Danio rerio: one gene and its partner. The protein of the gene in region 2 interacts with the protein of the main gene of each other region in a biochemical or structural test. Links are inferred from orthologs where the notes say so. Each region holds a gene or a part of one and is shown on either strand. Other genes may lie near its edges.

Evidence for each region. The genes of interacting proteins can lie anywhere in the genome.
Region 1: the proteins of rab11a (region 2) and rab11fip1a form a complex in vitro, tested with the Homo sapiens proteins (2 studies listed by BioGRID, with this or other methods). The link is inferred for Danio rerio from reciprocal best matches to the Homo sapiens genes RAB11A and RAB11FIP1.

Annotation. Positions count from the first base shown.
Region 1 is NC_133183.1:44,885,829-44,890,826, forward strand, and holds part of rab11fip1a (uncharacterized protein rab11fip1a), read right to left. Parts: intron 2,550-4,998; coding exon 2,131-2,549; intron 1-2,130. UniProt on the Homo sapiens protein: A Rab11 effector protein involved in the endosomal recycling process. Also involved in controlling membrane trafficking along the phagocytic pathway and in phagocytosis. Interaction with RAB14 may function in the process of neurite formation.
Region 2 is NC_133193.1:20,515,029-20,520,823, reverse strand, and holds the start of rab11a (ras-related protein Rab-11A), read right to left. Parts: upstream 3,360-5,795; 5' UTR 3,240-3,359; coding exon 3,200-3,239; intron 72-3,199; coding exon 1-71. UniProt on the Homo sapiens protein: The small GTPases Rab are key regulators of intracellular membrane trafficking, from the formation of transport vesicles to their fusion with membranes.

The DNA.
Region 1 (4,998 bases), on a different chromosome or scaffold from region 2:
TCAACATGCCTCAATGAAGAAAAAGTTTGGAGCGCATTTTTGATGCATAAGAAGTTAAAATGCATATTCCTCTGCTTGTAAAGCCATAAACAGGGTTTCTGCAGGTTTCAAGTCAAATGTAAGACTTTTTAGGAACCTTCCTAAAAGACCATTGTGAATGAAATTTTAGGCTTATACAGGGCTAAACACTAATGATTATATCTAATGGCCCCGTTGGGCCAATGGATTTCTTTATATATATTTCTTAGCTACATACTTTAATGTTGTCCAAAAAAACTAGCAGTATACACTATTTTCAACATATTATTTTCTCTTTTTTTATGACGAGTTTAACATTGTTAAAATAATATTTATTGTGGAGGCAATTACATAACTAAGCAAAATATATTTGTTGGCTTTTGGTCCAAATTGATTGAGATAACTTCTATTCAACCTAATGAATTTCTGTTATGAAACCTTTCCGATCCATGCCGATTTAAAAATATTATGGCTACTCCGCCTTACTTCTGTAAATATTTTTTTGTGTGAATGGAAGATGATGTAAAGTGATATATTGCTCTGTTATTATAATTAGGAATTGTGTGATTTTTCAACTGACTACAGTAAAATGCTATCTCACAATTATAGCTTTTATAGTGATATCTTACAAGGATTCTTACCTAACAGCACATTTTGAGGATTTAATTTATTTTATGAATTTGTCATTTATCTATTACAATATTATACAGGGTTTACTAACCATAATATATAATACTACTCAATTTTCAGTTGTCAGCAGCCATTACTTAGTATTGATCCCATCAGTCTTTATCAACAGATACAATAATAAATACATAAAATAATACATAAATTATAAATACTTTTTTATTATTATTCAAGCACACATAAGTTAAGAATAAAAACATAAAGCAGAAAAAAATGTTATTCTAAATGTTATAAACATTATTAAACAAATTATAACATAGAAATAACAATCAGTGGTGCTCATGGCTCCTTAATAGGTAAGAGAAAGTGGATGTCTTTTTGTAAGTTTTTTTTTTTTTTTTTTTTTACTTTAACCCATTGAAAGTAAACAGTGTATAACATTGTCATAATGAATTAAAGTATTGTAAAAAATGTAATGTTTTGTTTGCCACATATAGGTAACTATTTATGTGGGTAAATGGTGTGTTTTAATCCAGCTACCACCGCAAGTATATTTAAATCCTGTAATAAGCACTGATAGTATTGTTTTTGTATGCTAATGTTTAACATTTAAGTTTTTGACATGTTAGTGATTAAGTTTAATCAAAAAAAAGAGTGCATTAAAACAATCTGTTAAATGCTTTATTCCAGTTTTTCCAGGTAATATTACTACAATATTAAAGACTGAAAATGCTTTGTTCTGTGTCTTTTTAAACGGTTGTACAACAGTTACATCCGTCCTCTGAACCCGAAGTGCAAAGAGAGGTGGGGTGCCAGACCAATGTTTTCACAACAGATATCATTCTAAGATTACAACAGAGTCAAATAAGATCACAAAAAAATCAGTGCAGTGTAGGGTTGGGCCGATTGACGATGCCATGAAAGGTTAAAAATGTAAAAATGATAAAGCAGTGGATCGCACTGTCATCAACCAGATAATGTGACTGAAGGGAATCTGGTGGAGAGAACTCCTGCACATAATGAGACTCCCCTTTTCATGCAAAACTGGACACACCCACTTTCCTTACTTTTTCAAAAGTAAGAGGTGTGAAAACACCTTGCTGAGAGAGGGGGGTTCATGGACCTTTAAGCAAACTTGCCAGATTCAGATCATCAGCTTATTAGCAGAGACTGAAGACCTTAAATTGGTGTGACAGACAAAAGAGACACCCAAAACATGCAGTGCTGGTGGTCCTTCAGGAACGTGGTTGAGAACCACTACTCTATTCTACAGTGTGACATGCTCCTTAATATCTATATTAAAACGTTTTGAAATGATTTAAGAATGAATGTTTTACAAATTACACATGGCCTAAATGTTTTTTTACTTTGTACTTACAATAAGTACTCAATAGCTTACAATAACAAAACTCACCTAAGAATAATAATAATAAAAATAAATAAAAATAAAGTATTCTTAACAAGATGCATAATCATTTATTTTACCATCAGGAGAATCCACATTAAGGCCTGATGATCTGCTGCTGCTAAGTGAACTGTTCTTCTCAGGTAGGGTGCCGAGGGTTGACATGGACTGAGACACATTCCTTTGGAGGTTAGTTTTTGGCCCAAACAGGGATTTCAGCTTTGATTTCTTCTTTGGAGAGTCTGAACTGCCCTCTCCTTCTCCTTCGCTGTCTGTTTCCATTGATGAGGGCACAATCGCAGAAGCAGAATCTGACAGGCCGTCTTTCTTCTTTCCACGAATTTTATCCTTGAGCTTAGCGATTCCAGAGCGAGGCTTCTCTGTCATGGAGAGGTCAAACATGCTGGCTGTCATGTTATTCCTCATGAACTGAATGTCCAGCATAACTTCCCCACGGTCCTTCTCTTGCTTCCCATGCTTATCCACCAGCTTGTACCAGCTTCAAAGAAAAACAAATGGTATTCATTAAATTGCGTGGCAGACAACTTGTGAAGGACCATTTATTTTAGCTAGTTTAAAGATTTTAATCATCACACATAAGAATTGTTAACTACAATTATTCTACAAAAAATTTATAAATAGTTTAGGTTATAGCCACTGGCTAAATGACAAATTCGGGCCGCAAAATATATTGTGCAAACCAGCAACAGTCACATTGCAAGATTTGCAATGCAAATAGGGGATTATAATTAACCAGTAACCAAAGTTTAGAATGCCTAAATTGTGAAGTCAGAGTTAAACCCTAATCTAATGGTGTGATATGTTTTTGGATGACTTTAAGGCCTGTGACTAAGATTTCAGACAAATTTAAACCATTATAAAGTTTTCCACTTCAATTAAACTTGTTTTTTTTACTATTTATTAAAAGTTTTTAGCATTATTTTTACAATAAAGACTATGTAGTGTTATTTTTCAGTTGATTATTTAATGTCTGTACCTCAACACCGTTAGAGCTGTTTATTTAATTTTGTTTAGCTTTAGTTACTCATCTCTGCTTTAATAAGTTTCTTTTATTTTGTCTATATTTTTATGCAGATGCACTTTCGTACAAAATCATCCCAGTCAATGTAAAACAATGAATTATTTCCTTACTACTTATTTTACTTATTACTTAAGTGATTTTGTGAAATTATATTCATATCGCTAACCACGCACACAAATACAGATATATGGGGAAAAAAATGTGCATATCTGTGTGTAGCAATATGAATATAATTTTATTAGTACATATAAAAGCACATATCAATGCCTTAGGCCGTACTCACACTAGGTACAGTTGCCTCGAACCGGGGTAAAGCACGCTTTCTCCCCCGTCTCCCCCGACGGCCCGCGCTCACACCATATCGGGCCTCGGCACGCTTGCGTCATAATTATAATTCCACTACTCAGAATGACAATTAGAGATATCTGCAATTACAATTGTACTAGTACGAAATCAGATTGGAGATATCTGCAAATATATTGTGACTAGTCATATTCCTCCATTGACTTCTATTGAAAAATATTTGCAGATATCTCTAAAAGAGTTTTGACTAGTCACAATTGTAATTAGAGATATCTCCAAATGAATTTTGACTAGTAACAATTGTAATTAGAGATATCTCTAACGGAGTTTTTACTAGTCATAATACATTTGGAGATGTCTTTAATTCGTCATATTTAGAGATATTTACAAATATATTTGAAGATATCTCTAATTAATTTACAAATAGTCGAATTATAGTTGTAGATATCTTGAATTGGATGTTTGACTAGTCAAAATTCATTTGGAGATATCTCTAATTACAATTGTGACTAGTCAAAACTTATTTAGAGATATCTGCAAATATTTTTCAATGGAAGTCAATGGAGGAATATGACTAATCAGTCATAATATATTTGCAGATATCTCCAATCTAACTAGTCGAATTAGAATTATGACTACTCAAAATATAATTAGAGATATCTCTAAATATATTTATGGATAGTCAGAACAAGGTTTAAATGCTAAAACGGCTTGCCATACGCTCTCACCCAGTAGCACTGTGGAGATTTCTCTAGTTATATTGTTTCAGTCGTTTGTTATGCATTGACATGCAGTCAAATATTTTGCCAAACAGTCCTTAGGGATGCGGTGACACGCAGTCAGATATTTCACCGGACAGATCCGCCACTGTTGGCGCTCATAAACAATCATAAAGCTCTCGTGCTGCAGGAATAAGGAGGTCTGCTGAAGGCGCGCAGCTGGCGTGCAGTGAGGGGATTGCGTCTTTAATAAACTACGGCAGTTTGCGATCACTGAACAGTAAGAATGATTAATAAATCCATATGAAACAACCCCTTAAAAGTCACGTATCGCTTTCAGTTTCGGGCATAGTGTGAGTAGGCCCTTAGTCAGTATTCCTTAATCCCATATCTGTAACCACAAAAAAAAGTCCCTACTAAGTATTTACTAACAGTAATTAGAATTTATAGAGGCCAAACACATGTTGACTATGAAAATAAAAATTCAAACAAATATGAATAGGAGTAGGAGAGTTGAACCCTGTACCTGTAAATGAACGAAGTCACACAAGGCAGTCTAATGGCACAAATGGAAATTGTCATGTTTAATCTGCGCTTGTCCCTCATTTCTGCTCAGTTATAAGCTTGTTTTCAGCTAAGCTGCAGGCAAATCCAAGAATTCTGGAGTTTAGTATCTATAATTATGAACAAGCTATTATCTGCCTGCAGTATTGTCATAACAGACTCCTGAACAGAGGAATCATTGGTAGTCTATACTAACACCAAACAGCAGCTCCCACAGATGAATCTGATTAAACCTGGCATGCGCTCAGAGGAGGAATCTGCTGTAGAATTCCAAGAATTCAAGTCTAGACCCCCACAGCACAAGAGTTCCGAACGGACTG
Region 2 (5,795 bases):
GTTGAATTCATTGCGAGTGAAACGAGACAGCAGGTTACTCTTCCCCACACCAGAGTCTCCAATTAGGACCACTTCAAAATAAAACACAACATGGTGTAATATCTGACATAGATCACATAACAAATTAGGCTTCTCACATTATTTACTCAAGCCTTGTGTCTTTCCAAACTACTACACTGATTAAATAAACGATTCTGTGATGAAGAAAATACTAAAACATAAAAAAACATTAAACAATAAAGTCAGCAATGAAAATCAATATTCTAAATTACTGCTCAATAAAATTTCTAAAAAGTATATTTTTCTTTGAATCCTTTGTTGTTTTGGTCGTGACTCCCAAATATATATGAAAGCAATAACAATAAATATCAACTTTCTGAAACTGTTGTTCCCAACACACCCTGGAGCATTTTGCACTTTCCAGTTTTCCAGGTAAATTTACACTGCCATTTCATTGCTGTTGTTGTCAGGTATTATAAATTGAGTTTATGACATCTGCAGTTCATTTTCTACTCAAAATGACATTCACACTCAAACAATAGAGAAACTGTGATAGGAAATCAACTATTTACATGTTTTCAAGAAAAGCGAGCATAAAAAAAAATCTAATTTTACTTAATTCCACACATACAATTCATTGTTTAACAAATTTTGGAGCGCAAAAACTCAAAAAAGAAACTACATTTTACATAGTCATTTTTCAGCATACAAGACTTCTGATATGCTTCAAAATTCAACTTAAAACTTTCTACGTAAAACATGAGAATTTTATCAAAATGTTGACAGTTTGTTTACCATATTTGATTGACTCTAAATATGCATGTCCGTCAGTATTAAAATATGACAACCAATCAAAATGGGTTCATCATATAAAACAATAACTTCTCTTCAAAAGCACTGGATTTAAGAGCCTGATAAATTTAGAGTGCTAATGAACAGGCATGGGCTGGTGTAAGATTCTGGTGGTATGATAATCTTGGATAAAACATCACGGTTTCACAGTATAGTGATCACTGCTCTAAAATATATTCTTTTTAAATGTCTGGGTAAAAAACAAAAACTTTTCCCCCTCTGAACACAATACATCATTTTATTTTAAGAAATATTTAAAATATTTTGGAACTGTAAACATGTCAGGCTAAATTCAAATGGATCATTGGCTGTGTCCGAAATGTGTCTATACTTCTATATCATAAATTACGCTAAAACAGTATGAGACCGGACCAGTGTGTCCAAATTCATAGAATTCAAAAAACAGTATATGCGAGAATTGTGCATTCGATACACACTGTGCTATCTCATAATGCCCTGTGGGAGAATTTTTGAATGAGAGTGAAGCGACGCAACTTATACAGGTAGGTCACGTAATCATGACAAAATGGAGTATGTAGTACATCCGAGTTCCATTCATACTGTACAGAATATACTTTTTAAACAGCAGATTTAGTAGTACATTTAAATTCAAATGCAGTATCTACTGAGTAGTAGGCGATTTCGGAGGCAGCCATTGACTTCTGCTGTATTCCTTTTTTATAGTTATTTTTTAGGGTTTTTTCACTTTTATTTGAAAGGACAGTAAAGTTTGCAGACAGGAAAGTATTGGGAGCAGAGGGGAAGGGTCAGCAAAGGACCTTGAGCCAGGAATTGAACTCGGGTCGACATGAGCACCATGGTGCAATGTCAGCACACTTCACCACTAGGCTATTGGCACGGACAGACTTCTGCTTTACTCGTTAGTTTCAAAAACACAGATTTCTTTACGAATCAAAAGAGCATCTTCGAAAAAAAAAATGTTTTAAAAAAATCTTATATAATATATCTTAAATGGTATAGCAGAATATTTTGGCAGTTTCAAAACCTTTTCTGAACCACAGTTTACCTTGAAAACGGTTATCGTGCCAGATCTACTTATGAATTTCATAAATTGTCAGTTTTTATTAGATGGACTTTCAGTGAAGGGATCTGTCAAATTTATTTTCAATTCAAAGATGAATGGAAATGTTGGTTTGAATGACATGAGGGTGAGTAAACGATTGCCACATTTTAATTTTTAAGTTAAATGACTCTTTACACAAACACTTCTGTCTACATTAAATAAAGGAACAAACCTCTTCACACTCAGAGCTCTATGTCACAACACACCACACAACATCATTTGAGAGAAGTACATTTAAATAAATGGCAAAAAATATATATATATATTTATTTATTTCACAATGTGGGTGAGATTACCATTTTTGGTGACATTTTTTGACATTTTGTTATGACAGAAACTGGTGGAGATTTCCGAGTGGTTCTGGGCTTACGTGAAGACAGGTAGAGGTAGCTAGTTTACTATCACTACGATTCACGTGACAGCACAGAACTTCTTAAATGACTACATGTGTCTCACAGAAGTGAAAACATACGTAATGAGTCAACTGTGCTGCAAATATGACTAAACTTATTGTTTCAAGAGCTTATTCCAAATGATAGAAACTCCACATTTGCTTAATGAAAGAAAAACGATGAGCAACATATTCGAGAAAAACAGGCCGCATCACCTGACATCTAGTATTTACTTCCAAGACAACAAACTGACACAAATAATTATCTATTTAAAAGAACAGTTCATCCAAATTGAAGAAATTCCTTCGTTGTTCAAGTTGCTTCAATGTCATATGATGTTTTTTATCTCGGTGGAATACAAAAGGAGATGTTAAACGTCATGACAGCGTCGGTCACAGTTCAGTTTTAGTATATGAACTAAGATATAATGACAGCGAACGGTGGTTTAAGTATATCAAAATATATTATGGCCAAAAAAACAACAAAGACACACAGGCTTGAAAAAACATTCGGGAATACAGGCCGTTTCCCATTTCCGCCTGCTCCGTTAAACTCATCCAGCGACAGTGTCAGCTAACTTCAGCTAGCCGCTTCAAGGTGTGGTCGGATCTCTGGAAAACTGTGTTTTTTATGCTAACCAACATCTATATTAACCCAATGCACAGTAACTAAATAATATTATACATATAACGATACAGACTCAAATACGCTACTCCAGCCGAAGAGCAGGAGTTTGTTTGGGCTGCTCGAAGTGAGCTAGCCGGTTAGCTGGCCTTTACTGTTTAATATAAAACCACACTAACTAACAATAACCACGATGATCGGAGACGCTTTAACTTGTACAGTCGCGACAAAAGTATTACGTACTTACCTTTAAACAAGTAGTCGTATTCGTCGTCTCGTGTCCCCATCTCGATCAAAACAAAAGCGCAAACAATGGAAGAATGTGAAGGAAAGTGGAGGCGACCCGTCGCTGTCCTCTCCGCTGCGGCACTGCAGTCTGTCTGTGATTAGGCAGTAGCCATGCTAACGGCTTAGCGAGCAGGCGAACCAGAGAACATCTCCTCAAGTGTTCCGGGTGAGGGCCCTTACAGACTGTCAAAATAAAAGCAGGATTATTTATTATTTTTATTCATTGTGTATTATTTCTGTTCACCAAGGGCATTTTATATAATGAAGTATAAGACATATGTTTTTGTAAGGAACCACCGTCTCAATTGAGCCAATTTATTATGGAGCCAGATCAGTCTCAAAAATAATACATTTACAAAATATGATTCATATATTCACAAAACAATACACATTTACAAAATCCAATTTGTATGTTCTAAACACAATTCGTAAATACATAAATCCAATTCATAAAATTAAAAACACAGTTCATAAATAGAAATCAAATTCACAAATTCAAAACACAATTTATAAATGCACAAATTCAATTATTAAATTCAAAACATGATTCATAAATGCACAAATCCAGCTCGTAAGTTCAAAACATGATTCATAAATACACAAATCCAGTTAGTAAGTTCAAAACATGATTAATAATTGCACAAATCCAATTTGTAAGTTCAACACACAATTCATAAATACACAAATCGATTCCTAAGTTCAAAACACGATTCATATATACACAAATCCAATTCATTTGGCGAAAATATTAGGATGTTTACTTGTAAAATCACAAATTGTGTGTAAATCCAAATTGGATTTTGTAAATGTGAATTGTGCTATGCATGTATGAATCCTATTTTGTAAATGTATTTTTAGACTGATCTGACTCCATAATTTATACTATAAAGAGAGAAAAATATTTGGTTTCATTTAAGTTACATTGTAACACGCTTATTTGCTTATTTGCTTATTTGCCGTATTTTATTTATTTATTTTTTTCACTTGTATCTATTTTGTAATAAATTCATTCCACGTGAAAAAGTACTATATTAATATATAATAAAAACTACGTTGTTCCATAGTCTTTTATAGTAAAGTATATTCAACAGTATATATTATAATATTTACAACACTTAGATAGGGAATGCTTCAGTAAGCTGTAATGTTAATTGTCATCTGATAAACTGTCATAAATACTTTAATATAATTTTTTTTTAATACAGCAAACTGTGGTGGTGTATTGTAGTATAATGTAACATATCGTTGTGGAAAACTACAGTATTTGTGTCGTTTGCTTATATTAGCATATTTTTCGTGTTACAAGAGCAACTATAGAGTAACCAAAACCGATTGTAATTCAAGTATTTTACTGCAGTACAATACTACAGCATTTACTATAAATTTTACAGTTTTTTATTGTGCCTTATTTTTTCTTATTTACTCATATTTTTAGGTGAATAACTTAATAATTGTTATCATTTTAATTGTACAATATACAGCTCATGTTTTGGATGTTAATGGCCGCTTTTACATATACAATCTTTTTCTGGTACTGGTAAATTGCAGTAAAGAGATCATGTGTGAACAGGCCCTTTTAAAATGCCAGAAATTGTGTTCCTTTTTTTTTTTTTTTTTTGCAATGAGAAGTTGTAACATGACCAGGAAATAGCAGGAATTCTGCTGTGTGTGTGAAAGCAGGAGGAAAATTGTTGGTATGAGCCACATACAAGTTCAGTGGTACATTCACTCCACAATGCTGACGGAAATAAACGCCTTTGCCCAGACATAATTATTTGCTGCTTATTAATCAGACAATGCTCATGTTCCTTCCTACTGTAGAAAACAATGTCACAGATAGTAACGATATTGAGAATCGATATGTTAAAGGGGAAAGGAAAACTATGAATTGTTGATGTGAATTTGAGTAAATGATGAAGAAATTTTTGTGTGAACTATCCCTTTAAAAGGGACCACCATTCTAAAATAGCTATACTATGCTCAGAGATAAGCAGCATGGTGGCACAGTGGGTTGAACGATCGCCTCGAAGCAAGAAGGTCACAGGTTTGAGCCCTGGCTGGGTCAGTTGGCACTTCTTAATGGAGTTTGCAAATTCTCCCTGTGTTTGTGTGGCTTTCCTCTGAGTGCTCTGGTTTTCCCCACAGTCTAAAGACATGCGCCCTAGGTGAACTGAATAAGTATATTGGCCATATGTGTGTGAATACAAAAGTGTGTGGGTGTTTCCCAGTGTTGGGTTTTGGCTGGAAGGGCATACACTGCATAAAACATAAGCTGGATAAGTTGGCAGTACATTCCACTGTGGCGACCCCTGATTAATAAAAGGACTAAGCTGAAAAGATAATGAGTGAATAATATAATAATTTATTTCTTAAATAGCTTATTATTATTACACATTTTCTGCGTTTTTGTATTTAATTGCAAATTTATTTACATGTATTGCCAATTTGTATGTATTGTTCTCTTATAATCTTTTTATTGTTTATTCATTTTAATCAGTTTTTGGTAATTTATTTATTTGACTTAATCAGAATTTATATGTATTTATTATTATATT